Linked DNA regions of Mytilus edulis. The protein of the gene in region 1 purifies or fractionates together with the protein of each later gene. This does not show direct contact. Links are inferred from orthologs where the notes say so. Each region holds a gene or a part of one and is shown in the gene's direction. Other genes may lie near its edges. The genes, in order: transcription factor Sox-2-like, T-complex protein 1 subunit gamma-like, dnaJ homolog subfamily A member 2-like and BAG family molecular chaperone regulator 2-like.

Region 1 (7,383 bases):
GTTTTTTTACATCTTGGCACCAGGTGTGAAATCTGACATTGGTGTACATGTCTCGATATAAATCGCAACGCTGCAAGAAAAACTGTCACCGTGTGCATGTAAACTGATACTCTAGAACTAATCAGTTTATTTTTTTGATTTTTTTTTAACACGGTAGAATTTACTATGCCATGAGAGTGAAGCTTGCATAAGAGCAACCGTGTTTACATCAGGAAACAAGTCCCAGAATTTCCGTATAAAATAATCACTTTCATGCATATAGTGGACATCAGTAAAGCGATATGATGCATTTGGTTTATAATTACCCTAGAGATGTTGAAAATTAAATTTAAGAATGTTCAAAACTTTAGTTTATTTTGTTGATCCAAGATGGCGACGATAAATTTGCTGGCTTAACCTTTTACGTAGTATTTCACGGACGACTGCTTTGCTTTGTATCTATTTGGAAAAATACTTAACTATGTTTGTACATGTCATTACAGAAGCGTTTAAATTTCTTCTTTCTGTCTAGAATATTTGTTAAATATAAGCCATTTTTGAATTTGAACATACAAAAGTACTCTTCTATTTTGATACTTTCGTTGAAGATAAGACCTTACATTTCAATACATTTGTTAAAATGTTATCATTCTATCAAAAAGTACACTTATAATACACACTTTAAAATATATGTGATTTGAAAAAAGTTCACCATCTAAGGGTTGTGTATAAATCTTATAAGCTATTTATATTTAGTACTCTCATACCAAAATAGAGCAAATTTATATATATAAAAAAAAATATAGGGCTATCAGTTATTGAAAGAATTCTATATTTACTGCGTTAATTTTTGTAAACTTAAAATATTTGTAAAAGACATTTTCGTATATATTTTTTTTTTACAAATTGTGTATATATATATATATATATATATAAATGTTTAATCCCGTGAGCAATGCATTACCCGGTACAGAGAAAAACACATTTTTATAAGTTTTACATCAGTTTTCGTTAATGAATGTATATTGTATTTATATTAAAAAGAAGTCTGCCAGATATGAGGCAATTTTGAAATAATTAAGCATATCTTAATTAATTCGCGACAACTGTCTATACTATATATGAGTATTATTTTCTGGAAGTAATTTTTGATTCTTGGCAATAATTTTCAGATGTTTAATAATTATGTAAACAACTCGGACCCGTGTCATGTAACTTTTCGGTGTACATTTTGTTTTATCAGAACAATCAAGCAATCGTTTGAACAGAAAAACTTAATTAGATTCCAATCTCAGATTTGTCACCTTGTTTATATGAGAACCACTGGAAGGTAGAAAAATAGTGTAAAATAAAGAGAAAAAATGCCGTTAGTTGTGAATGATAATTTAGTTCTTTTCTACTTCCAATTAAATTGTACCTCACACCTATGAAAATAGACATATACTCTACGACCTGGAATTCAATTAATTTTCACCCTGTTTGTTTCCTGTCATTCATTAATTTGATAATTGAAGGAACTTTTTACCTTAATTTTCCGGGGGGTTCCTACCGAGATGTACCCGTTAATTAGACTAAATCAATTAATCGCATCCGCTTTCTACTATTGTCATATATAATTCCATTTTCACTTTCCGTTTATATGACAAAACGAGGATGTCAAGCGATTATCACTGAAAATAAAGATTATTTGGCTTGGCACATACATCAAGATGTCGCCAATTTATAAAATTCAAACTTAAAAATCAAAAAAGAAATGGAACTGTTTTGATATGGCCGATCATATATTAATCCTCAATATACACGATTCACATTGTACCTTCATATTACACGATTAGAAAATAATATGTCGCAGTAATATTTAAATAAATTCCACACTCTCCATAGCAATAATTTTAAAGCTTCTAAAGGAAGCAAGAAACAAAAAACAAAACCAGAAGAAAAACAACTTCTTTGATTCAAATACAATGTGCTTCTTTAATATATAAGGAGAATTTTAGGGGGAAAATGAAGTAAACGGACGAAAAAGTTAGAAGTATGAATTTTAATTGATATAATTAATCTAAATGATATTGAATAGTCTAGATAATAATTAAATAAGTATCATATTCATATAATGCATGTCACTGGAAAAAACCATCCGCCTCTAATCAAATAACTACATAGGTTAGATGATAAACTAAGGGAAAACTCATTTAGAATGAACAAATGAATAAAATACTGCTTCTGGGAAAATCATAGTGTTTTAAGAATTATGAAATATCGTTTAAACAGAATTACAGTATAGGTTAAATTATGATGATCATTTGGTATTTTCTGTTATTACAAATTTATGACATACAAGTATTTCCAGGTTTAACAACACCAAAAGTAGATGAAAACTGATCGGTTGTGTTTTATTATTTATTTTACCTCTTTTCTAACAAATCAAAATAAATTAAAGTTGTTTTTATGATTATTCCAAAATAAAACTTTACGATTGTTTAAATGTTGTTAAATTTAGATTGTTTTTGATTTAATGAAAAATACCAAGATTGTCACGAAAAACAATAAAATCTTGTATTTGACACTACCTATAATACTAAAATTAAGGTCCAATTCTTCAGGTGTGGAATGTATTACACAGTTTATACTTATTGCCGATTCTTTGATCTCAATTTTCACATATGAAAAGGAAAAGTTTCTCAGCTGACTCACTTTTAGTTGACCGAAGTAATTAACGAACATTGTGTTTAGATCCCCCATTTCTTTATATCTCGTTGACAACGCACGATGCCTAGGATTTAAGAACAATGTAAAGGATAAAACCCTTAATCCTCTGCTTTCTCTACTTGGCGATGGGGGTAAATTTCATAAACTATTGATAAAACTATTCTATAACACGTGCAAATGTTTGTTTCAACTTATTCTTACTTACCATATACAGCTGAATTATTTATATAGCAAATACAAAGTAGAAATAAAGTCAAAATATAATATTTGATAAATATTTTAGGATTATATTTTGAAGTTTCATTTTCTTATGTTTACCCCTATAAATGCAGAACTCTTATTGCAAATATTTCATTTTTGTTACGTTTACCCCAATATATGCAGAACTCTTATTGCAAACATTTCTTTTTTGTTATGTTTTACCACAATATATACGGAACTCTTATTGCAAACATTACATTTTTGTTATGTTTTACCACAATATATGCGGAACTGTTATTGCAAATATTTCATTTTTGTTAAGTTTTACCCCAATATATGCGGAACTCTTATTGCAAACATTTCATTTTTGTTATGTTTTACCACAATATATGTGGTACTCTTATTGCAAACATTTCATTTTCGTATGTTTTATCTGAATATATGTGGTACTCTTATTGCAAACAATTAAGATCAAAGCTGGTACGCATTTCAACAAGTAGATCATAACACACACGTCCTAAACTAAGGTAAAAAGCCCGTGTAAATGTTTATATTTTTAAATGTGGGTCAATTCCTTAATTTTTAATTGTATCATTGTCCTCACGGCCAAGGTCAGAGTAGAACTAGACGTTTTTGATTCCTCTTTTGACCAAATTACAATGGCCATTCAATGTTCTATTGTTTGCCTTTCTCAATACTATAGATATAAAATACAATACAAAAATGTAATTGAAACCTTTTATAACATGTATACAAATGTATATCAAAAGAAATAAATACTTTATCCCTTTTACTCTTATATAAAGAGTTACTTTTGTATACATCGAATGATATTTATATTTGCGGGCAATTAAACACGCTGTTTATAAAAGCAGTAAACAAATTTACCGTTACCGTCTTTAAATGAATAGAACAATTCCAAAGAAAGAGAAATCTGTTACAAAATATTTAAAAAGCAGGTAAGAGATTTTTTTTTGCATGTAGAAATTTGAAAAATTGCAGCTTTTAGTGATAATACTATATCTTTTAAAAAGAGGTCAGTTGGCCGTAATTTGGAAAGAAACCAGAGATGTTTTTAACAAATGTAAAGTCACGCGTATAGCAGCATTTCTGTTTGTGATGTTTGTGATGTTTGTTACATTATGAATTATACAGGACATTATACAATAATGTTAGAATGGTGGTTACAGATGTAACAACATGTTAAAAGATTTACTTATAGAAATGATAAAAACCTAGGTTTAGTCTGCCATGCATGGCTTTGTTTTGGTTAGATGCTACACACATAAGACTTGTCAATGTTTCTCCCGTACTGGTAAAAAATATCTACGTTTTAGTAGAATCGCTTCTGTCTTTTATATCATTTGTTAGATTTTTAAGTTACAGATTTGAAACAAATTTACAAATTTAGGGGTCTGAGGTTTATGGCACATACTGCGCAAGTCCCCTTCGTTCTAAAATAGAGATAATAATGATAATAATAAAACAATAATGTGAATGATAATAAATTAAAAAAAAGATGTTTGTTTATGTTTTCAAAAAAGTTTATCGTAAACAGTGGACCTGATTTGATTCTGCAAAACTTTGGGGGGGGGGGATCAAATTTACACTACTGTCTTAATTCAACGGTGGTTGAGTTAACCATATTAATTTATAGTGGTTTGGGGAAAAAGTTATTGAAACTTATATAAATCCCTTCCCACTTTGCGGGTGCAAGTGCTGCCTTGTTGCGACATAGCCTGCTCTATTCTGAAATCTACAACGCTGGTTTTGCCTCCATATCACTGAAAATTTAAATAAACAACAAAATAACAAAACAAATTCAATGCAATTCTTTTTTTAAAATTTGTTATTTTTTTTTCTAGTCTGTTTAATTGTCTTTCATTTTATACTGTATAGATAACATGCTTCTCCGCCACCCGTCCGCAAGAGCTTCCAACACGCTTCTGGGTAAGAATAAGATGATGTTTATTTTCTATCAATCAGGGCGCAAAATACAATAAGAATTCAAATCTAGATTCTTCATAATAAATTAGTATTTTATAATCAGATGCTGATTTTTTTTTTTACATCAATACTAACTGCTGAAATTTTAATTATCGACAGATAAGCTGTTAGTCCTTGCTTGCTATAAAAGTGTCTGTATCGCCAACTGAAGTGAGATTTCTTATTAAAGAGTCTCTGCCCCCCTTTTTATCTCGGTTTTCAATTTGAAACCATAAAACTATAATTAGAAGAAAAAGGGCTCTTTTCATTATTTATTTTATCATTATGAATTTTTTTTTAATATAATGACATTGGACAGAGATTGGACTGTTGTACTATTTCAGGTCCACGTTTAAATGCGTTAGAAAAAATACAATTATTCCCAAATCATTACACAAAATTTTATTATTTTTTTAATGAGTAACTTGAATTTTATATTTATTAAAATATTTTGAAATGTAATGAAATATAAAAATAACAACACCTGTAAAAAAAATTCTAACGGATAATTTTTCATCTGCATGTCAATATTAGACCATGCCCACTTTTCACGACATGAGCGATTCTCAACATGATTGAATTCACTCAATTGTTTGGATACGACAATAAACTTTACCTGCGAAGTCCCGCCCACTTTTTAATATTACCGTGAATAACTCGCCAAAACCAAGAAAGAACTAATTTGATTGGACGGGGCAGTGTCTATTTTTCACTGACGAATCGATATCCCTTGTTTAGTAAACCGTATTAGCCAAAAGAATAAGAAGAAGTCGAAATTATAAGACCTGTTTTATAGTTTGGTAGTGAAAGCCGTATTGAGATTTATCATTTATTGGACTTGAACTTATTCAAAAGCTATTGACTATCTTCAGTTATTATAATCAGTGTATTGGACTTGTATAAAGCACGTGGAACACTGTTCAAATTTTATAGTATGGATAGTGACTTATCTAAACAGGGACCAACTACAACTTTACCACCAGCATCACAAGGAATGCATGTGCCAGTTACTGGAGGTATGAACATGCATCAACATCCATCGCAACAACAAGTACATTCTCCTCCATCTCCGGACATGAATGGACAACACAACAATAACAACAATGGTCTTGGTAACAAGAAAGCTGACGATCGTGTGAAAAGGCCCATGAACGCTTTTATGGTGTGGTCTCGTGGTCAGCGAAGGAAAATGGCCCAGGAAAATCCTAAAATGCATAATTCTGAAATTAGTAAGAGACTTGGTGCTGAATGGAAATTGTTATCCGAATCCGAAAAGCGTCCGTTCATAGATGAAGCTAAACGTCTTCGAGCAATTCACATGAAGGATCATCCTGATTACAAGTACAGACCGCGCAGGAAAACAAAGACCCTCATGAAGAAAGACAAGTACGCTTTACCCGGTATGCCCGGCAGTGGAGGACAGCTGCAGTCTGATCCAAACAGAATGTATCCCGGAATGAATGGATATATGCCGAATGGATATCCTATGAACATGATGCACGATCCAAATGCCTATCATATGGCAAATCAAATGGGACTAGCTCAGTATGGCAATTATTCTATTCCAGCTCAACAAATGTCTGCTAATCAGATGACATCCGCATCATATATGAATGGGACCTCAAACTACACAATGTCCGTAGGAATGAATCCGTATTCTATGTCTCCATCACAGGTTCCTCCGTCCGTAAAAAGGGAACCAAATCAACCACAAGTTCCAGGACAACCCCGTCAAGCAGGAGATTTACGGGAAATGATTAGTATGTATTTACCGGGAGATGCCAACGATCCAAATAGTGCCGCTGCTCACCATAGACTTATGCAACAACATTATCAGCAAACGGCGTCATCGGAAGCTGCAGGGGTAAATAACACTGTGCCACTGACACATATGTAATATTTTCTGTTTTTTTAATTTGTTTTACAAATTTGTGCTGCGAGAGAAAACATTATATTTCCCATTATATATATATTGTTTATCATTTTTACATTGTTGAATGAATGAACGTCGAAATCCATGACATTTGTAAGACTGTATAGCATGTTTGAAAAGCAGACAAATCGAATGAGACGAGCGCGTGCGTGTGTGAATGTTTATTTGAGTTATATGGTGCGAATTTTGCAAAAAAAATGTGCTGAAATTATTGAAAATAGATCTATATAATTTTATTACAATCATTACAGAAGTGAACAACTTATTTATACACGAACTGTTGAAACGAGATAATTTTGTAGAATATATTTAGCATAATAAGTCGGATTCGAAATTCGCCAAACAAATTTAGGGAAATTTTCCACACATATATATATTTGCTCACGGTAAATTCAATTTTCTTGAAGTAGGTTTGTAAGTATGATTAGATTTTGTTTTGTTTATGTATTAAATCGTGGTAATGTTCCGTATATATTTTTATGTTTAAAATTTAATTTTTAAATATATTTCAACTTTATGTGGCTCTAGGTTTATATGGTAAAATGATTTTGTTTGAACTAAACCAAACTACTTAG
Region 2 (7,676 bases), on another chromosome or scaffold:
TAAGAACACATGTACAGCTATCATTACATCGCCTTTCTTCACCACGACGAGTGTCATGAAGGTTCAACTAAAGTAAAAAAATAGGACACTGCATAAACATCAAAACTTTGCCTCTATTTCTCAACCTAAGATGAATAAAGTCCTTAACTGTGGGAACATATGTTTATTTGAACATACTTAACATATACATACATGTAAACAAACTTGAAATTGTTATGTTGTGGCCAAACCGGTTTTTGTGGTGACACTAAATTTTCCAAAAAATCTTGAGGCCTGCTAGATGACTGTATTTGTTCAAAATTGGTATGGACGAATCCTGTTATATGTAATGCAGTACAAGCTAATGTTGATTTTTAAGGAAACGTATCGATTTACGAGTTTCAGTTAATTCCGTGTATCTAAGTGAATGAATATCGAAGGTACAATACAGAAATTATACAAAAATGTCATTGAAACATATTTAGGTGACAAATAAAGATTAGCTTGTACTGCATTACATGTAACAGTATTCGTCCATAGGAACTATTTACCCTAAATACTCGATGCCATCTTGCTTTTTTGAGGGGTTGGATGTTGTTCACTAAAGGCCGTTAAGAAGAAATTTTAACTTAAAGGTTTGGCAAACTGGCGTTATAGTCTATTGATTTAGCCTTCAATTCAGTTGTTATCAATTCGTTTGATGTGTTTGAGCTTTTCATTTTGACATTTGCTAAGGGAATTTCCGTTTAGAATTTCGCTCGGATTTTGGGATTTTTGTTATCTTACCTTTTAAAGGTTGACGTGTTTGATGCTTGAACAAGTTTTGACATTGTTTCAAATTATATGACATTGTCATAGTGTAGACTATATGATATGTACATTGTCATAATTTTGTCTATAATGTAATTATTTAGTCATATATGAAATAAGTACCTGTATATGATATTGTCATAGTTATATATGTCAATATAGTTTTCTCACGTTTAAATTGTAAATTTTCATAGTTTTATGACATTGTTTTAAACAGAAATTGCTTGAAAACATGGAAGGGCTATCATTTGGTTATCATAGTTTTCAAAGGTACCATGCAGGGCCGTAATTAGGGTTCGAATTCAGGGGAGGCAGAGGTTTGGGGACCGCCGATTGAGATCCCAAAGACAGGGGGTTTGGGGACACAGCCCCCTGCCGTTTTTCTCTCTCAGTAAAATGGCTCAAAATGACCCGTGTTCCTTGGATTTCCTTACTTTAAGTAACATCGGTATTGCTTGAACCTGGAAACAATTTGTATGCAAAAACAACCTGAGATTTCTGTTCGGGGTAAGCCAAGGCTCCGTTAGAAGGCCGTACTTTGGCCTATAATTATTAACATTAAATACATTGTGACCGCGGATTCTTTTTCTCAATATGGCTAAAAATGACCCGTTTTCCTTCGATCTCCTTACTTTAAGAAACATCAGTAATTGTGGATCCTGGAAGCAATTTTTATGCAAATAATTATTATCTGTATTTAAAGATACTTTTGTTAGAAATCAAACTAGTAAGTTAAAAAAAACATATAAAGCAAGATCATAGAACGCAAGATAATTTTTTTTTATCGAGGACCTTGAATTTCTATATTGTTGAAAGCTGAACAGACATGTATATAACTAAAACCAGGGACTTTCAATACAGTCTAGTATTATATATACTTACTATAGAAAGTCACTGCTACAACGAATGGGATTGTTTAACTAATAAGGCATTGACCATAATGTTCTCGTACGATCGGGAGACGCAGTTAAAAAAATCACCCAACATCTGATTCAGCTGGTGACGAATTTCCGATATCATAAAAGAATTCACAATTCAAAGGGAACTTTCTCTGCTTAATTGAGCCCCTAAATAAATGTGAATAGTTAAGTTTTATTCAAAATTGTCGGAAGCAAAGTTCATATGTGATCTCGTACGAATACTGAATAACAGACGGACGGCCACACGAAAAAAAAACCAAAAAATAAATACTGAAACGGTTCACTTTCGATCAAAAATCCAGAAAAAGGACAAATATATCACGTATCATGATAACACTGTTAAAACTGTAAACTTGTGTTGTTTAAAATATAAATTCAAGTTCTCATTGTCAATATTTCATTTTATTACTTCAATAAAAAAAAATTGGTGTAGAAAATTCAGGGGAGGCAGTTCCCTCCCCTCCCTCATAGGTAGTTACGGCCCTGCCATGCTTATAATTAAACTATCTGAGATACTCGTGTGGTTTCTGTGGATGTGTGCTAGCCTAGACTAAAATCAAAATAAACAACGTAAAACAGATTCTTCTCATTTTGGTTGGAACTCGATGAACGCTTATGTCATATAGAACAAGGAAGAGCTTTTTACCATTTTTCATTTTTTCTTTATTTGCGTTTAGGCTCTTAATTGGTTCAGTTGAACGGGTAGTTTTAAATACTGTATAATGTCTTATGGTTGTTGCTTAAACTATCATAGTTGTTAATTGTAAATGCCCTCTGTTGGACCTTGATTGGAATAATAAAATATTTGATTTGAGTTGATGATAAGTGCGTATGTGTGTGTGATCGTACTCGTCGAAAATTATAACAACTCTTTTGTAAGGTGTTAAATTGGTATTTAAAGCCACAACTGCACATGACGTCTTATGGGAATTGTCCGAACTATATATTTTTGCTCATTTTCTTTAGTGAAAAGTCATTGAAAAGTTCAATTTTTCAGTGTGATTCGAATCTGAGAAATTTTCCTCAATTAAAAGTTCACCAAAATACGTACGACATTCAATATATATGCATGTATACAAAGGGCAATCAAAGATAAAATGGAATTCAGTTTCGCTTTATTGATTTTAGCAAAATTAAATATGCATAGTTTTTCTTCTACACTTTCGTTTAGTTTAAACATATTTTATTGTTCAAAATAACGAATGGATCGGACACAAGTTTTACAACTTAGTAACGTCTCATCCTCATCAAAATTTGGCCACGTTCAAATTTTAATTCGTAATTTTCAATTTCAAAGACTGTCAGTTTAAAGTTCTTATATGTTTGTGGTTTCGAAACGTTTTGGACGGAAATCGTCTGCAGATATCTGAATAAAATCGAAAAATCAATTTGGTTACAAACAATAACAAATTAACGTTTGATTTCAATGCGTCACTGGAAGAAGGAAGTTTGTTTGCTTTAGGTCGACGATACATTTTGTGTTGCTGTAGAGCGGCAGTTTTTCGGGTTTCTTAATTAATAAGGGGCCAATAAACTACGGAATACGGAGAGTGATTTAGAATGCATATGTAACTAAGGACATGCATACACAATTCATATACCATATATATCTATAAAACAAATGAATATTAACACGTCTAGATCTGTATATTTCAAACAAAGCGGCATATAGACCATACACCTTGTCGCTATCTGTCCGCCATTAATGGAAATTGCACAGGTTCCCGTTAAATGTTGACGTCATAAAGCAAAATATCTGACTTCACAATGGAAAAGTGATTGTTGTGTGCGTCAAAAGTTCAAGCGGCCGGGTCAGCCGGGATTAGCGATAAGGTGTATTGCACATCAGCGAACGGACCATCGCACTTCACCGTGACCATCGATCGAGCCTCAGCGTCCCCATCGCACACCGAGTTTCGAGTCGTACATATATACTTTGTGTTATGAAATATTAGCTATTATTGGTAAATAAATGAGAGGAACAGATTATAAGTAGTTGTGTTATGCAGTGCAGCGGCGGATCCAGCCATTTTAAAAGGGGGTTCAGCCCAGTAGAAGGAGGAGGGGTTTCCAACCATGCATATGTCCCCATTCAAATGCATTAATCGTCCAAAAAAGGGGGTTCCAAACTTCCAACCCCCTGAACCCTCCCCTGGATCACTCACTGCAGTGGATATAATGCATGCGTTATTCCGTTGACAATCAAAGTGTGCCGATCGTTATGATTGATTGATTGATTGATTTTTCAGTCGAGTTGTTCAACGTCCAGTGGCAAATATTTCATGCATGTTCAGGACGAGAACAAGTTAACAATAAATACATATTTTATATATGATTATATATGAAAAAAGAATTGCTGTTTCTTCTTCAATGCCTTGGGTTTTTATTTGTCATTTTAAAAAGCAAATACCTAATAAATTCAGTATATTGTCAGTGTAAATCTATATGACTGAATAGCGAGGGTCTGGAATGGTAGTCCTATAAATTAATATAAGATTTCGGAGTTTCATATCATTTACTTTCAACGTTCTTCATGATAGAATATTTTTTTACTATCAATGTTGAAATCGGTTGAAAAATATCCGATAAAAAACGAAGTCACTTATATTACATGTACATATAGTACATATCATAGTAGTATCAGCTCTGTCCGAGTATTTTTTTCGGCCGTTTAATTTTTAATTTTGATAAACTTTACCAATTATTCCCTATATTTAAGCACACTATTATTCTTCAATATTTTTTTTATCCATTTTCTGTAGAATTGACCTTTTATTGTCTTTTCTCAGTGTAACTGTCTGACCCTCGAGAACTGACCCCATCCAGACCCTAAACAATTCACTCCATGTTAAAAAAAATCCTTTCAGAGAAAAAAAATAAAAAATTGAAATTATCAAATAAAATTTAAAAGTTAAAACATGAATTCTTAGTGCAGTGCTGATAAAAAATGTTTTAAAGTGTTGCTAAAGTGGCGGGAAATTCCGAGTTATCGGACTTCATTTATTGAGTCGCCACTTGATTTCCGGCTAAACAAAAAGCATGTCTGGAATAATCGTACTCAGTAAGTTTCTAATATTTTGTATCGCGACGCCCTATTATCGAATAAAATTTCAATCATTCAACTGATAATCCTTTTTATTTATATTACAGACCAAAACACCAAGCGGGAAACCGGCAAGGTTGTACAGAAAGGCAACATTGCTGCAGGAAAGGTATGAACATGTCTTCACATGGTCGTCGCCATAGCCATATCAAAATAAGAATGTTCCAGAAAATTCACCTTTTTTCTGTAACTGCACTATTGGTTACATTTTGTCTATATTTTTGTAAATTTTCTTCATATAATTATGACAAATTACTGAGATAACATTCCAAAAATTGAATGGAAAATTACTTTACTGGCAAAAACTTGAAAAAAGGGGGGTGTTCTGTTCCAATCCAGGTTTATCCGTCCTGAAGGATAAGGTAGCAAATTATACACAGAAGTTTAGGGATCTCCTGTAGTTGGTGATCGCAATACTGGTAAACCAGTATTGTCCATTTTTGTACCAGTATTGTACCAGTATTGTGGTTTTTTTTTAAATAAACAATACATATACATTTGTAGGTAATTAATCTTTTATGAAAGGTGTCACATATATATGCATAATGCATATGACATGACAATTTTAAATGGAATGATTGGATGTTTAACTTATAAATTATATTTATCATGTTTATAATATAATATTATTTAATATTCAATGTTTTAAAAAAAGTCACCAATAATATGTGCTAATATTAAAATTTCAAGTGTTATTTGGAAATTAACAGTGTTATTCAGTCATTCAAGGTATCGTCGATGGTATCTGTACTCAGTACTACTGTCTCAGCATATTAACAAACTCTTTGCTTTCTTCAATGTCTCCAGCTCTCTCTTTCCAAGACAAAAGTATATTTTAGTGAATTTTATATTGACTTTAATACTGTTATACATGAAAAGCTTCATGTATTATCACATTCACGTTGGTACTGTTTATTTCTTCTTCAGATGGCATTTATGCCACCCCACTTCCTATTTTGATATTAATGTATTTCAGTCTATGCACTTTCTCTTAGGCTTACTAGGTTACAAGCTTATTTAGATACATGTAGCACCTGTCAGCTCTCTTACTGTAGGAGTGCTTGTCCAGTATTAGTATTTGAGTATTTGTACCAGTATTTCTATATTTTATGTAATTCAATTCAGCATTTATATGTATTAAAATATATCTGTAAAAAAATATACGATGGCATACATGTAAATGCTGAATTGAATTAAATAAAATATAGAAATATAAGATTTTTAGCAATTATTTATATAACTAACAATTGTTGAATAATATGAGTTAATTACAATAATCTTTTGTTGATTTGTACAAGTATTGTACTTATTTTTCTCTAATTCTTCGTCAATTTATCCCTTTCTATTGTATAAAAAAAATTTAATCAACGTGTGGTTCGTTTGATCTCAGTACTTCATTGGTTTAAATCTGATTATGACGTCGAATTTTTTTGCTTTCCTATTGTGACGGCATGAAAAAAGGCGACCATGCCTGATGACGTCACATAGAAAGAACACATCTTTTTGCAGATCATTCGAATAGAAGGAATAAGTTTGCATGCATAATGTTAGGAAATCATTAGAGAAACAGATTTCACCACCAAATCTCGCGTAATACGATATTTATCCACTCTCGACAGTTAAATTTTAAATATTTAAAACGCTCGGGCAAGCCTCGCGTTTTAAATTTGAAAATTTAACTGTCTCGAGTGGATAAATATCGTATTACACTCGATGCAGTGGTAGAATCTATATTTAACTGGTTGTTAATTGATTTCCCAATTATCCTCTATAATCTTTTTGAATTCATTTAATCTCCCTTTGATCTTCAATATCTAATTTTGCTTAAAATTCAATTTTCATTATACACCTTAAAGTATATAGTCAACAATACAACTACAATACTGGTATATCAGTAATGTATCAGTATTGCTGTTTTTTTAAAAAAAGTTACAATACTGGTACAAAATTTTTATACCAGTATTGTGGACAATACTGGTATACCAGTATTGCGATCACCAACTACAGGAGATCCAAGTTTAGTTTCACATTATGGCCATGGTGAATCTTTTAAATATGAAAGTTTTTGTACAATAAAATTGACTTTTAGATAATTGAAGAACAATATAGCCTTCTTATAGGGTTTATATGAACATTTAGATTGTTTTTAGCATGTTTTATAGGCCATTTATCTGTTTGACAGTCTGTATTTTCCTATCTGTACTGCCCATAGGTCCATAAATTATCGTAGTGTTTATCAACAAAGATTTTGCACTCGATCTTTTCAATTCAATTTTGTGGAAAATCAGGCAGAAATGCATATGATTTTTTTTGGACCACTTAATAGATATAAACCTATGGTTTCAGGGAAGGTATCACTGTAATTGATTGAAATTTTCCTATGGACCAAATTTTGGAGACTATTGTGACATGTTCACCCCCCTTTTTTGCTATATTTTTTATCAAAGAAATGCAGATTGTTGCCATGGTTATACCCAAAAGGTATTATATTTTACCATTTTGACCATAAGAAATCAAATCTATGGAAGATTCTCTTTCTATAAATATATACATGCATAACACAAGTATTAAGCCTCATTTGCTAGACAGGAGGGGAAAGAGGGTGTTTAAAATTATGAGTGTCAATTTTAAGTTTTTTTCCTAACTGTATTGCTACCTAAACATTTAAGTTTGCCCAAGTTCGTATAATTTTACCAAAGATTTGATATAAATTGCTACTGTTAATTCTGATATTATTGGGTTCATTTGTTATGGATATTTTTTGTTTGACAGAAATTGCACGAGAGTTGCTTCCCATTTGTTTGGATGTTAGAAGTCTTAGTACATGTATGTGCACCAATGCCTTCATGAATTAGTCAAATTCT
Region 3 (7,132 bases), on another chromosome or scaffold:
TAGTTGGTAACTGAAATTGTATAACATAATTTTCAGATACTCATACAAAGCCGATAATATTCGCCCGAAGCTTTTGTCAAACAATACATGTCCAATAGGTTTCTATAGTAAATTAGTATTTTTTTAATAAGGCCATCAAAAATTTAATATTAGATATCTGGCAAGTCTTTAAATGCATATATATGAGAAAACCTTGTTATATTTTGAGAACAACATTGAAAAAATTATGCTGTAAACTAAATACAGGAAATAAAATGTGTAATAATTTATATAGATCTCTAGACTCTACGGCTAAAGGGAGATAAATCTAAAGCAGAAGATATACATTTTATGAAGCATAGAATTATTAATCAATCGTGGCGATTTTCGGGATCTGAATATAAATCGTAATTCGTTATCTCAAATGGAATTTTTTTTTTCAAACGTGTCTTTTCCGTCCAAAAGCCGGTGAACCCATAGTTGGTTAATCTGGAATGCCATGTTTGGGAATATTATACTACTATAGTAACTTAATTATAGTCCTAGGCCATGTGCAGGGGATTCTCCAGAAATTTTTGAACAAAACCATTTGTTTAATCCATCAATAGGCCTGAAGGAATTACAAAGAAAGATCACAGGCACTTACTTGTCTCTAATTCTTTTTTCTCAACTATATTACTGTATATAATATAACATATACAGATGCAATAGAAAAGTAAAATAAAAAAATACCGAAATCCATTGAGAATTCAAAATGAGAAGGCCAAGATATCAATTGACAAAATGAAAGGCTCAATAATTGATAAACATGTCAAAAATAAGGGTACACTATAAAATTGAGAACGGAAATGAGGAATATGTCAAACAGACAACAACCCTACCAAAGAGTAGATAACAGGGGGAGGCAACCAATGGGTCTTCAACACAGCGAGAAAATCCTGTACACTTAGGTGAGCTGCAGCTGACTCCTAACTATAAATGTGTACAATATATATAAAAAAAAAGAAGATGTGGTATGATTGCTAATGAGACAATTCTCCACAAGAGATAAAAATGACACCGTACGGCCTTCAACAATGAGCAAAGCCAATACCGCATATATAAAAGGCCCCGAAATGACAATGTAAAACAATTCAAACGAGAAAACTAACGGCCTTATTTATATAAAAACATTAACGAAACACAAATATGTAACACATGAACACACGACAACCACTGAAATACAGGCTCCTGACTTGGGACAGGCACATACATACATAATGTGGCTGAAAATGGACGTCACACTCAACTCCAAAACATATAAATTGACTAAAATTTAAAAAAAAACATACAAGACTAACAATGGCCAGGCTCCTGACTTGGGACGGGCTAAAAAATGTGGCGGGGTTAAACATGTTTTATGAGATATTAACTCTCTCAAATGTAGAATAAAGAAACACACAGCAATACGTACAGTAAAGCTCAGTTTAAAATAAGTCCTAGTCCGATGTAAGAATAGGTAACTTGGCAAAAAAAAATAAGCAATATGTCAGTAACTGCTATAGTAGCATACTTAATTTATGTATCCATTGTTATCTTGGGTATTTTTCTTCAGTACAATGAAAAATTAAGTAAATGTTTTGACTAGTTTGTGATATTGAAAACCACAAATTTAATAATTTTTCCGTAATTCAAGGATTTCTTTCGTTAAAATCTAATACGTTGTTACATACACGAGCAAACCGAACAATTAAAGTCATGTGAAACCGCAAATTAAAGAAAAAAATATGCATATTTTTTTTATAACTAAATGGATAGTTTTCATTATAAAACTTATGTACATATACTTTTTTTGAAGAAAATTCTTTAATTTGTCCACATTTAGAAGAAGTTTTCTTTTTTTACAATTGCTTGCTTTTAGGAAGCAATTCGCCGAAATATTTTTCGCATATGCAAGTGACCTTAGCGTGACCCTCCTAGTAAAAACCCGGTGATCGCAATACGCATGGATCTGTCATTGAAATAATCTATGATCTGATTGTAAATGTTATACACGTTCTCAATATCCATACTTCTTTGTTCCCATGATTGTTTACTATAAGGTGACAATCGGTAAACTACGTCTTCAAAACACGGCGATTAATAAGCTGACATATTTGTTAAATCATAACAAACAGAGAGAAAAAAAGTTGACGATTATACGATATTTTGGCGTAAGAAATGTTAAAATCGTGCACAGAAGACTAAGTTTATGATTTACTACATGCATTGGTAATTTTTCACAAGTCATTCGTTTCATGTTGAGAAATATAAACACCATAAGATGGTGACATAGGTTAGCGTCACCATCTAAAAATGGATATTAAAAATTGTGTTATAATCTTAATTATTTTAAAAAATGTCAACAAAGAAAAACAAAATGACATACATATATATACAAGGCATATTAGCAAATATAAAAGACGAGAATACAAAAAAATGACCAGCGCACAATAACATGCAAACTCTAGAATACCGAATGAGTTTGGGAATGTATATCCTATATGCAGGTGAAGTTGGTATTTTGCCACTAAGGTTGGGAAAATTGATAATTTCAAGATTAAAATCGTCTCGCTTGTCATAGATTCTGATACTGAGATGACTTCTTATGTCAAATTCGAGGTATAAGTCTAAAAACCAGCCGAATGAAGCTTTTAAAAAGAATGCATGAAATTTGACAAAAAAAAAGATAACTTTTTTTTAGAGACAAGTACATGTAATGGTAACTCTTGATTTATAAAATTGATTCCAACTTCATCTTCGTTGAGATCTGCTTGCAAAATTTTAAACGAACTTATTATCAATGTCACGCTTGGTGTAAACAGAGACATATATATCTCTAGTGTAAATAATGATACTGGTGCATCAGTGCTCATTCATTTTGACAAGTCGGACCCATTTTTGAAGTAAAAAATTTTAGTAACCTGAGCTCGCTATCTGAATGCTTACAGCGGTAACTGATAACACATATCGATCGTGCATACGCTATTACTGAGAATGACAAAGATGTTCGGAAAACCAAACTTCATTGTTGCGTTTCTTGATGCTTTCGGTTCGGCTGATTTATGATCATTTATGACAATGTGTGGGGTTTTTTGGTTTGCCAAGTTTAACATATATCTACGTTAACGATAGTACACTTGAGTTAACCAAGTCAGGATTATAATGTACAATCGATATTCAATTGACTAATTCGTGATGCTGGCCAAGTTTCTGGATAACAAACCTTAGCCATCACATACTATGTTCATAAACAAAAATCGTTCGTAATACTCATTGTACGTCAGTGCTTTTGCTGATATGTTCATGTTTTTTCCTGGAACTTTGAATAGAAGTTTAATTGTTAAAATAAAAAAAAATCGTTAAAACTAAAAATAAAATATAGAAATCAGAATCAGAGACATATAATACAATTAGTATATAGTATGTGTCTCTGTCAGAATAAATGACAAATCATTGTGATTTTGTCTTCTCAGTCAGGGACTTTCTATACTAACATATAGTATTAAAAGTCCCTGTCTCAGTAGCACTGAAAAAAAATTCAAATTCATCATGAATATTAGCTAAATTGAAGAAAAAAAGAAAAACACATTTAAATTTGAGAATCGTCTTTTTGTGTCACCACTGAAAAAGAGTATATCCGAATTATAGTTATTAACTTCTTTGTCCATTAATGTATCCTGTTGTATCTCGGTCGTACGGATGTATTGCCGCGAGCACAGTCTTGATTACACCATTTAATTCGTCCAGCCTTTATAATAGACTTTTTAAAATTCATATAGAGTAAGGGCATTATTTCTTAAAATTATATTCAAGTCAGAGTGTTCAATGCAAAAGATATTATAAGTTTGATTAAGAGAGTTTTTCATACCAATTTTTTCACACAAAAGGGGGGGGGGGGCCTTTTTGTGTGAAAAAATTGATCGGTTATATAGGAAATTATATAGGGAATCACCGAAGCATGACTGGAGCGGGCCCAATCTTAGGCAGTCAGTGGGTACCACCTTATGAACATTTCTGGATCCGCCACTGTTGACATTGTCTATTACAAAATTTCCAGTACATGTATTTTAAAAAACTTCAAAAGATTGGAGGAAAGAGACTTCAAACGCGGGAAATATTATTTCCCCTTAATGTAGCAACCGCTAGTTCCTGTCATAGGTGGCAGTGCTTGATCATCGAACCTCGTGAAAATGGCAGACTCAAAATTATACGACATTTTAGGCGTCAGTAGATCTGCCCAAGACAATGAAATCAAAAAGGTATCAATGAAAAAGCAATAGTATATGTCAATCCTTACGCCTTATCTGTACCTGACTAATTTCAAATATGAATTTTGTCACTTTCAAAGGCGGATGGTGACTCAGGATTTCAGTAAGAAAATTAGAACGTTCCATGGTTTGAACTTGCACAATGATAAATTAAACTATATGTATTACCCACAGGTATTTGGGGCATGGACCCCCCTTTTTTGGACCTCTCTAAAAAAAAATTGGTGTTTTTTTATTTATTTTCAATTTTCTAAAAATGTATCAAGTCTCAACAATCCATTGCTAGTCGATTGCAATAACTTTTTTACTATCCATACGAGCCCCAAGTGAAAAAAGAAGAAGGTAATTACCTTCGATGACTGACCTACTTTCACTTTGGAGGATCAGGTCAGGAAATCGATAAAAATTTCATATAAAAACTCACTTACTTTTCATAAAAAGTACATCCTTAGATTCATGAGATATTTTTCTCAACGTTTAAATAGGTCTGCGGAGGTTTTGTGTCTTGTTTTACTGATTTTGTTCTACAATTGTCGTCCATTTGAACCTCCATTCACGGAAGTGAAAATACAGCGCCATCTGCGTTGTCTTTCGCTATGTTTCTATAACTCCGTTTGACTAAACTGCTTTCCTGTTTTTATGCCCCACCTACGATAGTAGAGGGGCATTATGTTTTCTGGTCTGTGCGTCCGTTTGTACGTCTGTCTGTCCGTTCGTTCGTCTGTCTGTCCCGCTTCAGGTTAAAGTTTTTGGTCAAGGTAGTTTTTAATGAAGTTGAAGTCCAATCAACTTGAAACTTAGTACACATGTTCCCTATGATATTATCTTTCTAATTTTAATGCCTAATTATATTTTTTATCCAATTTCACGGTCCATTGAACATGGAAAATGATAGTGCCGAGTGGGGCATTCGTGTACCTTGGACACATTCTTGTTGGTTACCAGTTTTACATATGGGTTCCGAATGCAATGTAGCTATAAGAAAAGGTAAGAGATATGGACCATAATTTGCTATTGGGCTCCGTTTCCTATAACTATAGAAAAGTGATAAAATGTGAATTACTGTAAGAAAAGTTGTAACTACATCTAAAGATGCCATTATTTTTATCAACATACAAGTGTATGCTACTCTTCCCTAGAAAAAAAATTGAAATTAACAAATTTCAAAGATTATACGACCGTATTTGTGTGTCGTTTCTCGCGTTACTTTTCGCGTCCGAAGTGCATAACGCTGACTAATTTATAGATAATCGTCACCGGCAAATTCGTAATTTTTGCTTTAAAATAACAAAGAACATCGACCAATAAGAATAGTGAGAAGAAAATGCCGAGAACTATAAGTATTTCTGTAGCAGGTGTAAGAACACTGTCGTTATTTTGGTTTCCCATTTCGTAACGCACATTTTAGATGGTTTAATCTGCTTTGTTGTAAAAGAATTCTTTGCAACAATATGCTAATACGAACTCTCGCGAGATGTTCAAACAGGTAAATCAGAGATGATTTACATTCTTGTTTTGTTCTTCGTAATAATTAAGTTAGAAAATGACGTTATCGTTATGCGTTACATTTCACACGAAACAGAAGTCCATTTATTTATTAAAATTGTTTTTGTCGTTAAGTTCTAATCATTTCCGGTCATACGTGAAACATGTGACTAACATGTGATCACGCCCTTACAGCCGGATATACGAAATACTAGGTCTAAACATTGTATTTGTTTCCAACGGGATGTAAGCAAACATAATCTGTAGGCTTGTTTCGTCTTGTTTAAAAAAGGAAAATACAATTTTCAAAGAGATTGCGCCGGGGGTCTATTATTTTTCCCATGTGCATAATGTTACATACGATCTTGTGTGAAAATAAATGCCCAATGACTTGACAAAATCGATTTCAGATTTGACCGACGTTTTAACACACTTCGTTTCCCAATAACGATGTGAAGGGTCCTTGGAAAATTCAATCGAAATTACGTCTCCTATCATGGTGCCAATGTTCGTTGGATTGATTTAGCTTCAACAGTAAATATTACTGGATATTTTAGGTGAATAAAGATAATTTAATAAAAAATACATGTTAATGTACCGTTACACTTGGAATGTACAAAGTTGGTATCTTTGTCACAATTTTTAATTAATTTTTTTTATTCATGTTCTGCAAACACTTATCAGAAACGCAATAAACTTGTCAAAGGAAAAGTAAACTTTTACCATGCATTACTTGAAAGGAAGTACTTTATTGATTTTAGCCCACTAAAGTAGGTTAAAATGTGGAAACCATGTAGATGGTGTACAGGTCACAAATATCACATGGTGCCTATTTTAAAGATGCTAATTCCAAGTTAAAAGTTGTTTTCTTTACTGGATTTAAAGAATTTTACATTACCAATGATTTGGAATAAATTGTATATAACTGGAATTTCAAAACCAAATATAAATACATTTTTTTGGCTAAAACATCAAGATACAACGATTATGGTATCCTGTATCAATGAAGAAAATACGGAAATTCCTGAATAAATTGTACTAATTGTTTTCAAAACAAGCACATATTTAGGAGTTTTATAATACTGTTACATTTAAGATGGATTTTAAGAAAAAGTATACTGTTCAGATCATTTTAAGCAGATTTTGCAATAAAATAAAACTAAAAAAATGCTTTCGGTTTCTTATGGTTTCCTGTCGCGTTTAAAAAAAACTTTAATTTAACATTGAAAATAGATTTTAAATATTAACATGAAGCAAGTAACACTAGTAATGGTGTTCATTTATGTCTTTTGAAATATATTGTGCAAAATAAAGAAAATAAAGATTGGTTTCCTGTTTTGTTTCCTGTCACGTAAACGGTGAATCAAAATGTATTAATT
Region 4 (7,660 bases), on another chromosome or scaffold:
AGCAAGTCTAGTGGACCTATATGGTGTGTTTATCAGATTAGTCCCAAACTGATCGCTTAAGACCATTGACATTGAGGCGTAGACCTATTGGAGGCTAGCTCCTAACCATGGTGCTTATTTCCTTTTGGTGGTGCTTATAAATAGATGAGATGGGTGGATTTCTTTAACTTGTAGACTATTCTAGAAAAGCTGGTGGACCATGCTTGAGTGCTTTAGACCCTGGGCCTATTATCTTATATCAATTAAAGGATAACTTCTTCCTGTGGTGCTAAATTCGTTTTTGGTGGTGCTTTTCTCTTCTTCAATGAAATATACCCTAAAAGACCCAATGGACTTATAGATTGAACCCCATGTGCATATGGACCAAGGGGCCTTACAATCCAAGTTAGACCCCAAAGAGTATTTTAAAACCCCTTATCTGTTTGTTGGACCAATGGGAGGGAAGCTACCCCTGTGGTGCTAAGTCCATTTTCGGTGGTGCTTATATTTTTGTTTATTGAAATATACCCAAAAGGACCCCATGTACATGTAGAGTGGACCCCAGGTGCATGTTGACCAATGAGCCTTACAAACCAAGTTATACCCCATAAGAATATTTTAGACCATTTTACCCGTTTGTTGGACCAATGGGAGGCCAGCCACCTCCCGTGGTGCTTCGTTCGTTTTTGATGGTGCTTATATCTGTATTTAATGTAATATATCCTAAAGCACCATAATGAGTTGGAAGTTGAACCACAAGTGTATGTGGACCAATGAGCCATACAAACCAACTTGGACTCACAAAGAGTTTTATAAACCCATATACTAGTCTATTGGACAAATAGGAGGGAATCCACCTCCTGTGGTGCTAAGTCCATTTTCGGTGGTGCTTATATTTTTCTTTAATGAAATATACCCTTAATGACCCAATGGACATGTAGAGTGGACCCAAGGTGCATGTGGACCAATGAGACTTACAAACCAAGTTAGACCCCATAAGAGTATTTTAGAACCTTTTACTCGTTTGTTGGACCAATGGGAGGGAAGCAACCTCCCGTGGTGCTTAGTCCGTTTTCGCTGGTGCTTATATTTTCTTTAATGAAATATACCCTAAAAGACCCCATGGATTTATAGATTGAACCCCAGGTGCATATGGACTAATGAGCCTAACAAACCAAGTTAGACCCCCAAAAGAGCATTATAGATCCTTTTAACCGTTTGTTGGACCAATGGGTGTTAAACCACCCCCCGTGGTGCTAAGTCCATTTTCAATGGTGCTTATATTTTTCTTAAATGATATATACACCAAAAGACCCCAGGACTGGTGTAGATTGGACTATATGTGCCTGTGGACTAATGAGCTTAACAAACCATCTTAGACCACAATAGAGTGCTTTAGACCCCTAAACACGTCAGTTGGACCAATTGGAAGGAAGCTACCTCCCGTGGTGCTAAGTTTTTTTTCTGTGGTGCTTATATTTTTCTAAAATGATATATACACCAAAAGATCCAAGGACTTGTGTAGATTAGACCATATGTGCCTGTAGACTAATGAGCTTACCAAACCATCTTAGACCCCAATAGAGTGCTTTAGACCCCTATACACGTCAGTTGGACCAATTGGAGGGAAGCTACCTCCCGTGGTGCTAAAAAAAAAATCTGTGGTGCTTATATTTTTCTCAAATGATATATACACCAAAAGACCCCAGGACTTGTGTAGATTGGACCATATGTGCCTGTGGACTAATGAGCTTAACAAACCATCTTAGACCCCGATAGAGTACTTTAAACCCCTATACACGTCAGTTGGACCAATTGGAGGGAAGCTATCTCCTGTGGTGCTAAGTTTTTGTTCTGTGGTGCTTATATTTTTCTTAAATGATATATACACCAAAAGACCACAGGACTTGTGTAGATTGGACCATATGTGCCTGTGGACTAATGAGCTTTACAAACCATCTTAGACCACAATAGAGTGCTTTAAACCCCTATACACGTCAGTTGGACCAATTGGTGTGAAACCACCTCCCGTGGTGCTAAGTCCATTTTTGGTGGTGCTTATATTTTTCTTAAATGATATATACACCAAAAGACCCCAGGACCTGTGTAGATTGGACCATATGTGCCTGTGGACTAATGAGCTTAACAAACCATCTTAGACCACAATAGAGTGCTTTAAACCCCTATACACGTCAGTTGGAACAATTGGTGTGAAACCACCTCCCGTGGTGCTAAGTCCATTTTTGGTGGTGCTTATATTTTTCTTAAATGATATATACACCAAAAGACCCCAGGACCTGTGTAGATTGGACCATATGTGCCTGTGGACTAATGAGCTTAACAAACCATCTTAGATCCCAATAGAGTGCTTTAGACCCCTATACACGTCAGTTGGACCAATTGGAGGGAAGCTACCTCACGTGGTGCTAAGTTTTTGTTCTGTGGTGCTTATATTTTTCTCAAATGATATACACCAAAAGACCCCAGGACTTGTGTAGATTGGACCATATGTGCCTGTGGACTAATGAGCTTAACAAATCATCTTAGACCCCAATAGAGTGCTTTAGACACCTATACACGTCAGTTGGACCAATTGGAGGGAAGCTACCTCCCGTGGTGCTAAGTCCATTTTTGGTGGTGCTTATATTTTTCTCAAATGATATACACCAAAAGACCCCAGGACTTGTGTAGATTGGACCATATGTGCCTGTGGACTAATGAGCTTAACAAATCATCTTAGACCCCTATAGAGTGCTTTAGACCCCTATACACGTCAGTTGCACCAATTGGAGGGAAGCTACCTCCCGTGGTGCTAAGTTTTATTTCGGTGGTGCTTATATTTTTCTTTAATCAAATATACCCTAAAGGACCCCATGGACTTGTAGATTGGAACCAAGGTGCATGTGACCAATGAGCCCTACAAACCAACTAGGACTCACAAAGAGTGTTATACACCCATATACTTGTCTGTTGGACCAATGGGAGGGAAGCTACCTCCCGTGGTGCTAAGTTTTTGTTCTGTGGTGCTTATATTTTTATTAAATGATATATACAACAAAAGACCCAAGGACTTGTGTTGATTGGAACATATGTGCCTGTGGACTTATGAGCTTAACAAACCATCTTTGACCCTAATAGAGTGCTTTAGACCCCTATACATGTCAGTTGGACCAATTGGAGGGAAGCTACCTCCCGTGGTGCTAAGTTTTATTTCGCTGGTGCTTATATTTTTTGTTTAATCAAATATATCCTAAAGGACCCCATGGACTTGTAGATTGGAACCAATGTGCATGTGGACCAATGAGCCCTACAAACCAACTAGGACTCACAAAGAGTGTTATACACCCATATACTTGTCTGTTGGACCAATGGGAGGGAAGCTATCTCCCGTGGTGCAAAGTCCGTTTTCGGTGGTGCTTATATTTTTTTTAATGAAATATACCCTAAAAAAACCCATAGACTTATAGATTGAACCGCAGGTGCATATGGACCAATGGGCCTTACAAACCATCTTAGATCTCAATAGAGTGCTTTAGACCCCTATTCACGTCAGTTGGACCAATTGGAGGGAAGCTACCTCCCGTGGTGCTAAGTTTTTTTTCTGTGGTGCTTATATTTTTCTTAAATGATATATACACCAAAGACCACAGGACTTGTGTAGATTGGACCATATGTGCCTGTGGACTAATGAGCTTAACAAACCATCTTAGACACCAATAGAGTGCTTTAACCCCCTATACACGTCAGTTGGACCAATTGGTGTGAAACCACCTCCCGTGGTGCTAAGTCCATTTTTGGTGGTGCTTATATTTTTCTTAAATGATATATACACCAAAAGACCCCAGGACTTGTGTAGATTGGAACATATGTGCCTGTGGACTAATGAGCTTAACAAACCATCTTTGACCCTAATAGAGTGCTTTAGACCCCTATACACGTCAGTTGGACCAATTGGAGGGAAGCTACCTCCCGTGGTCCTAAGTTTTATTTCGGTGGTGCTTATATTTTTCTTTAATCAAATATACCCTAAAGGACCCCATGGACTTGTAGATTGGAACAAAGGTGCGTGTGGACCAATGAGCCCTACAAACCAACTAGGACTCACAAAGAGTGTTATAAACCCATATACTTGTCTGTTGGACCAATGGGAGGGAAGCTACCTCCCGTGGTGCTAAGTCCGTTTTCGGTGGTGCTTATATTTTTTTTTAATGAAATATACCCTAAAAGACCCCATAGATATATAGATTGAACCCCAGGTGCATATGGACCAATGGGCCTTACAAACCAAGTTGGACCCCAAAGAGTATTTTAGACTCTTTAACCCGTCTGTTGGACCATTGGGAGGGAAATTACGTCCCGTGGTGTTCAGTTTGTTTTTTTGTGGTGCTTAATTACTGCAAGGATTTGTATATATAGTTAGACTATACAAATCCTTGATTAATGAAGTTCATATTAAAAAAAAAATCGATTTAAATTATTTTTATTTTAACTTTTCATTTAATGATTATTTGATGTATCTTAATATCTACGTATACATTAAATAACTCATAGTTGCCCAAATGTATTTATTTTACTGATAAAGTCCGTGGTGCTTATTGTGGTTCTTCGTGGTAGAATCGGGGGATATTCTAACTCTGTCGACAGGAAGTAAGTAAAAACTTCTAATCATACTACGTACCGGTCTTTTAAAATGTACGGAAATTAAAAACTGTTCTGTTTGTTGTTTTCACTTTCTAGTTAAAAAGACAATATGGCAGCTAAAGAAAAACTTCTTAGTATTGAATACCCAGGATTTGATCAAATATCTGAAAATTCGGAATCATACTTAAGTAATTTAATGGATGATGTGGAAAGGAGGGTTGAAAAATTGAGAGAACAGGCTATTGCAATGGAACAAGAAAGAGAAACAATACTAGCAACTCTCCAAAAAATACAGGACAATGATCTCAACCTAGAAATTTCAACTGGTAAACAACATATCTTGGAACCTATAGAAGAGTGTGTGTGTGTTCATCATAACAAACGGACAAATATGGCTGTATTTACATGCCAAAAACTACTCTGAGTAAAGACTTACCCGTGAAGTTGGAAAAGTTTTAATGCCCGGCATTCACTAGATATATTAAAGTTAAATGCATTTTGTTCTGCAGAAAGATAAAATCTCTTTTGGAATTTGATGGTCATTTTTTTCCTTCATGCATTAGGTGTGAAAATTAACCAGTTAACTAAGTTGTGGTACAACTTTGAGATGCTCGCTCAGGTAAAACCTGGTTTGTATTCTTCTTCTTCCAACATGTCCAATACAGTGCAGTCCTCTAATTGAGTATTATCGCATTATTGCCCATGCTGGGTGTGACAACAAAGGTGCAAGAAAATATTTACAGGTGCAAGATGGTCTGATGGTGCGATTAACAATGATTAAGGGATACTGCCGCTCAGTACCCCCTGCTTGAAAGCATCTAGTGATGTACATTTTTGTACTGTCTACCAAAGGTTGTGGGAGGCTGTTCCATATCTATATGCTGTCTGGAAAGAAGGAATGCCTGTATGTTGAAGTTCTGGCATAGGGTATGAAAAATCGTGTTGTGTGTCCTCTTGCTACGGATGATACATAGTGTGTACATGTAGCTCTAGCGTTGGTATTGCTACAAGGCCATTTACTATCCTGTACATCATTACTGCTTTGCAGTTGGCCTTCCTCTCCCCTAGTTGTTGCCACTATAGAGTTTTTAGCATTGATGTTACACTGCTGGTTTGTTGGTAGTTGTTCAATACATAACGGTCTGATCTTCTTTGCACACTTTCAAATTTCTGTATGTTAAGGTTGGTGAACGGGTCCCAGACTGAGCATGCATACTCAAGCAATGGTCTTACTAGCGTTGTGAAGCATACAGCTTTTGTTTGTTGGGGACAGTGCTGAAGATTTCTTTGGATGAAGGCCCTGGTTGAATTAGCCTTTTTAGCTATACTCTTTATGTGGGTGTTCCAATTAATAGTTTTGTGGATTGTGACGCCTAGATATTTTGCTGAGTCCACCAGTTCTAAATTGTGCCCATGAATGTATTGTTTTGATTGTCCTTAATTGACATGAAAAATAGGTATCTTCACAACTATACACTGCTATAAGTGAGTTAAAGAGTTTATCTGAGTGGACAGTATCATAAAGTAATTCAGGTGTTTGTTATTTTTACACCTTCTGCAGAAAGGAAAAAAATTGCCCACCAAACCAAGAAAATTTTATCTTTTTTAAACACAAAATGCATTTAACATTTATATATCTAGTGGATGCTAGGCCTTAAAACTTTCCAAACAGCACAGGTAAGTCTGCACACAGAGTAGTTTTTGAGGTGAAAATACAGCCATAACTGTCCATTTGTTATGATGAACCTTAAAAACTCTCCTTTGGACCATATTTACCGTTAATTGTACAGAAGCCCTATAAAAAATGATAAATATGGCACTGCCCCTGGGTACAGTTACCTGTCACGTAGTCCAAATAATTATAACATCTGGCAAGGCTATTTAAAAAAATTTCTGGGACGCCTTCTTACGTTTCCTACGTAGGAATGCGTCCCAGAAAAAAATTAAAATAGCCTTGCCTGACCTCATAATTATTTGGACTTAGTTACCCGCAAAAAGTACATGCAGTAACAATACGCAATAATTTTTTACATTAACAAATGACTAATGAGACAATTGCCACAAACTGTATATATGTATTTTGAAGGATGACCCAATTTCATACAGAAATGAACGGTAACCATAAAATAACTTTTCAATGTTAGCCACAGATTTTAACATCTTTCAAATTCTTTGCAAATTGTGTGTATTATAATATAGCATCAGGATACATGGACACTCCTCTCTTCATTACCCTGTATAACTCGGTTTTCATATTTGAAAAAAAAATGTATATCATTATGAACACAAAATTATTTAATGAACATACATGTACATGTAGCAATGATAATTTAAACATTTATACATACATTAGTACATATGTATACCATGTATATAGAATGTAGCCATTCATTTTGGTGGCTTTTCCTGCAAATCCTAGTATGCAGCCTTATGACAGCATTTACTTAAATACTTAACAGATATTTGTCCTTCCTTTAGTACTAGCAGAAGTTCCCCAGAAAACGTTGACCATCCTTTTATTTCTTTGGAACAAATACCGGTACTAAACATTAACATCTTAAGACAATAGGCAATATTTATTAGCACAAACACATTTACATTAAATGGTTATGGCATACAAAATGAAGACAATGAACTGACAATATAGTTAAATTGATTACAATTATATTAGAGTGACAGTGGTATTCACAGTGAAGAAAAAAAAAGACTATACATATATTTATCTTAAGTACATTGTACACTGCATTGAATAGACATATATATACCGGTATATATATATATATTAAAGTCTATAATATATATACATGTATATATGCTTTAATTTTGAAATTTATAAATCTTTTTGAATTTTCAGGTGCGGATCCAGCCATTTTAAAAAGGGGGGGGGGGGGGGGGGTCCCAACACAGGATAAAGGGGGGGTTCCAACTATATGTCCCCATTCAAATGCATTGATCGGCCAAAAAAAAGGGATCCGCCAATGATTCTTTTTGTTTATTCTAAAGCAGTGTTAGATATAAGTTTTCTTAAAACAATATTTTT

What was found.
Region 2: the proteins of transcription factor Sox-2-like (region 1) and T-complex protein 1 subunit gamma-like purify together in Homo sapiens (affinity purification with mass spectrometry; 3 studies listed by BioGRID and IntAct, with this or other methods). This does not show direct contact. The link is inferred for Mytilus edulis from reciprocal best matches to the Homo sapiens genes SOX2 and CCT3.
Region 3: the proteins of transcription factor Sox-2-like (region 1) and dnaJ homolog subfamily A member 2-like purify together in Homo sapiens (affinity purification with mass spectrometry; 3 studies listed by BioGRID and IntAct, with this or other methods). This does not show direct contact. The link is inferred for Mytilus edulis from reciprocal best matches to the Homo sapiens genes SOX2 and DNAJA2.
Region 4: the proteins of transcription factor Sox-2-like (region 1) and BAG family molecular chaperone regulator 2-like purify together in Homo sapiens (affinity purification with mass spectrometry; 3 studies listed by BioGRID and IntAct, with this or other methods). This does not show direct contact. The link is inferred for Mytilus edulis from reciprocal best matches to the Homo sapiens genes SOX2 and BAG2.

What each region holds. Positions count from the first base shown.
Region 1 is NC_092346.1:79,535,767-79,543,149, forward strand, and holds the start of transcription factor Sox-2-like, read left to right. Parts: upstream 1-4,366; 5' UTR 4,367-5,809; coding exon 5,810-6,772; 3' UTR 6,773-7,383. UniProt on the Homo sapiens protein: Transcription factor that forms a trimeric complex with OCT4 on DNA and controls the expression of a number of genes involved in embryonic development such as YES1, FGF4, UTF1 and ZFP206. Binds to the proximal enhancer region of NANOG.
Region 2 is NC_092347.1:37,354,401-37,362,076, reverse strand, and holds the start of T-complex protein 1 subunit gamma-like, read left to right. Parts: upstream 1-4,674; 5' UTR 4,675-4,748; coding exon 4,749-4,770; intron 4,771-4,859; coding exon 4,860-4,921; intron 4,922-7,676. UniProt on the Homo sapiens protein: Component of the chaperonin-containing T-complex (TRiC), a molecular chaperone complex that assists the folding of actin, tubulin and other proteins upon ATP hydrolysis.
Region 3 is NC_092348.1:49,350,871-49,358,002, reverse strand, and holds the start of dnaJ homolog subfamily A member 2-like, read left to right. Parts: upstream 1-4,111; 5' UTR 4,112-4,190; coding exon 4,191-4,259; intron 4,260-7,132. UniProt on the Homo sapiens protein: Co-chaperone of Hsc70. Stimulates ATP hydrolysis and the folding of unfolded proteins mediated by HSPA1A/B (in vitro).
Region 4 is NC_092344.1:97,260,630-97,268,289, reverse strand, and holds the start of BAG family molecular chaperone regulator 2-like, read left to right. Parts: upstream 1-4,651; 5' UTR 4,652-4,729; coding exon 4,730-4,946; intron 4,947-7,660. UniProt on the Homo sapiens protein: Co-chaperone for HSP70 and HSC70 chaperone proteins. Acts as a nucleotide-exchange factor (NEF) promoting the release of ADP from the HSP70 and HSC70 proteins thereby triggering client/substrate protein release.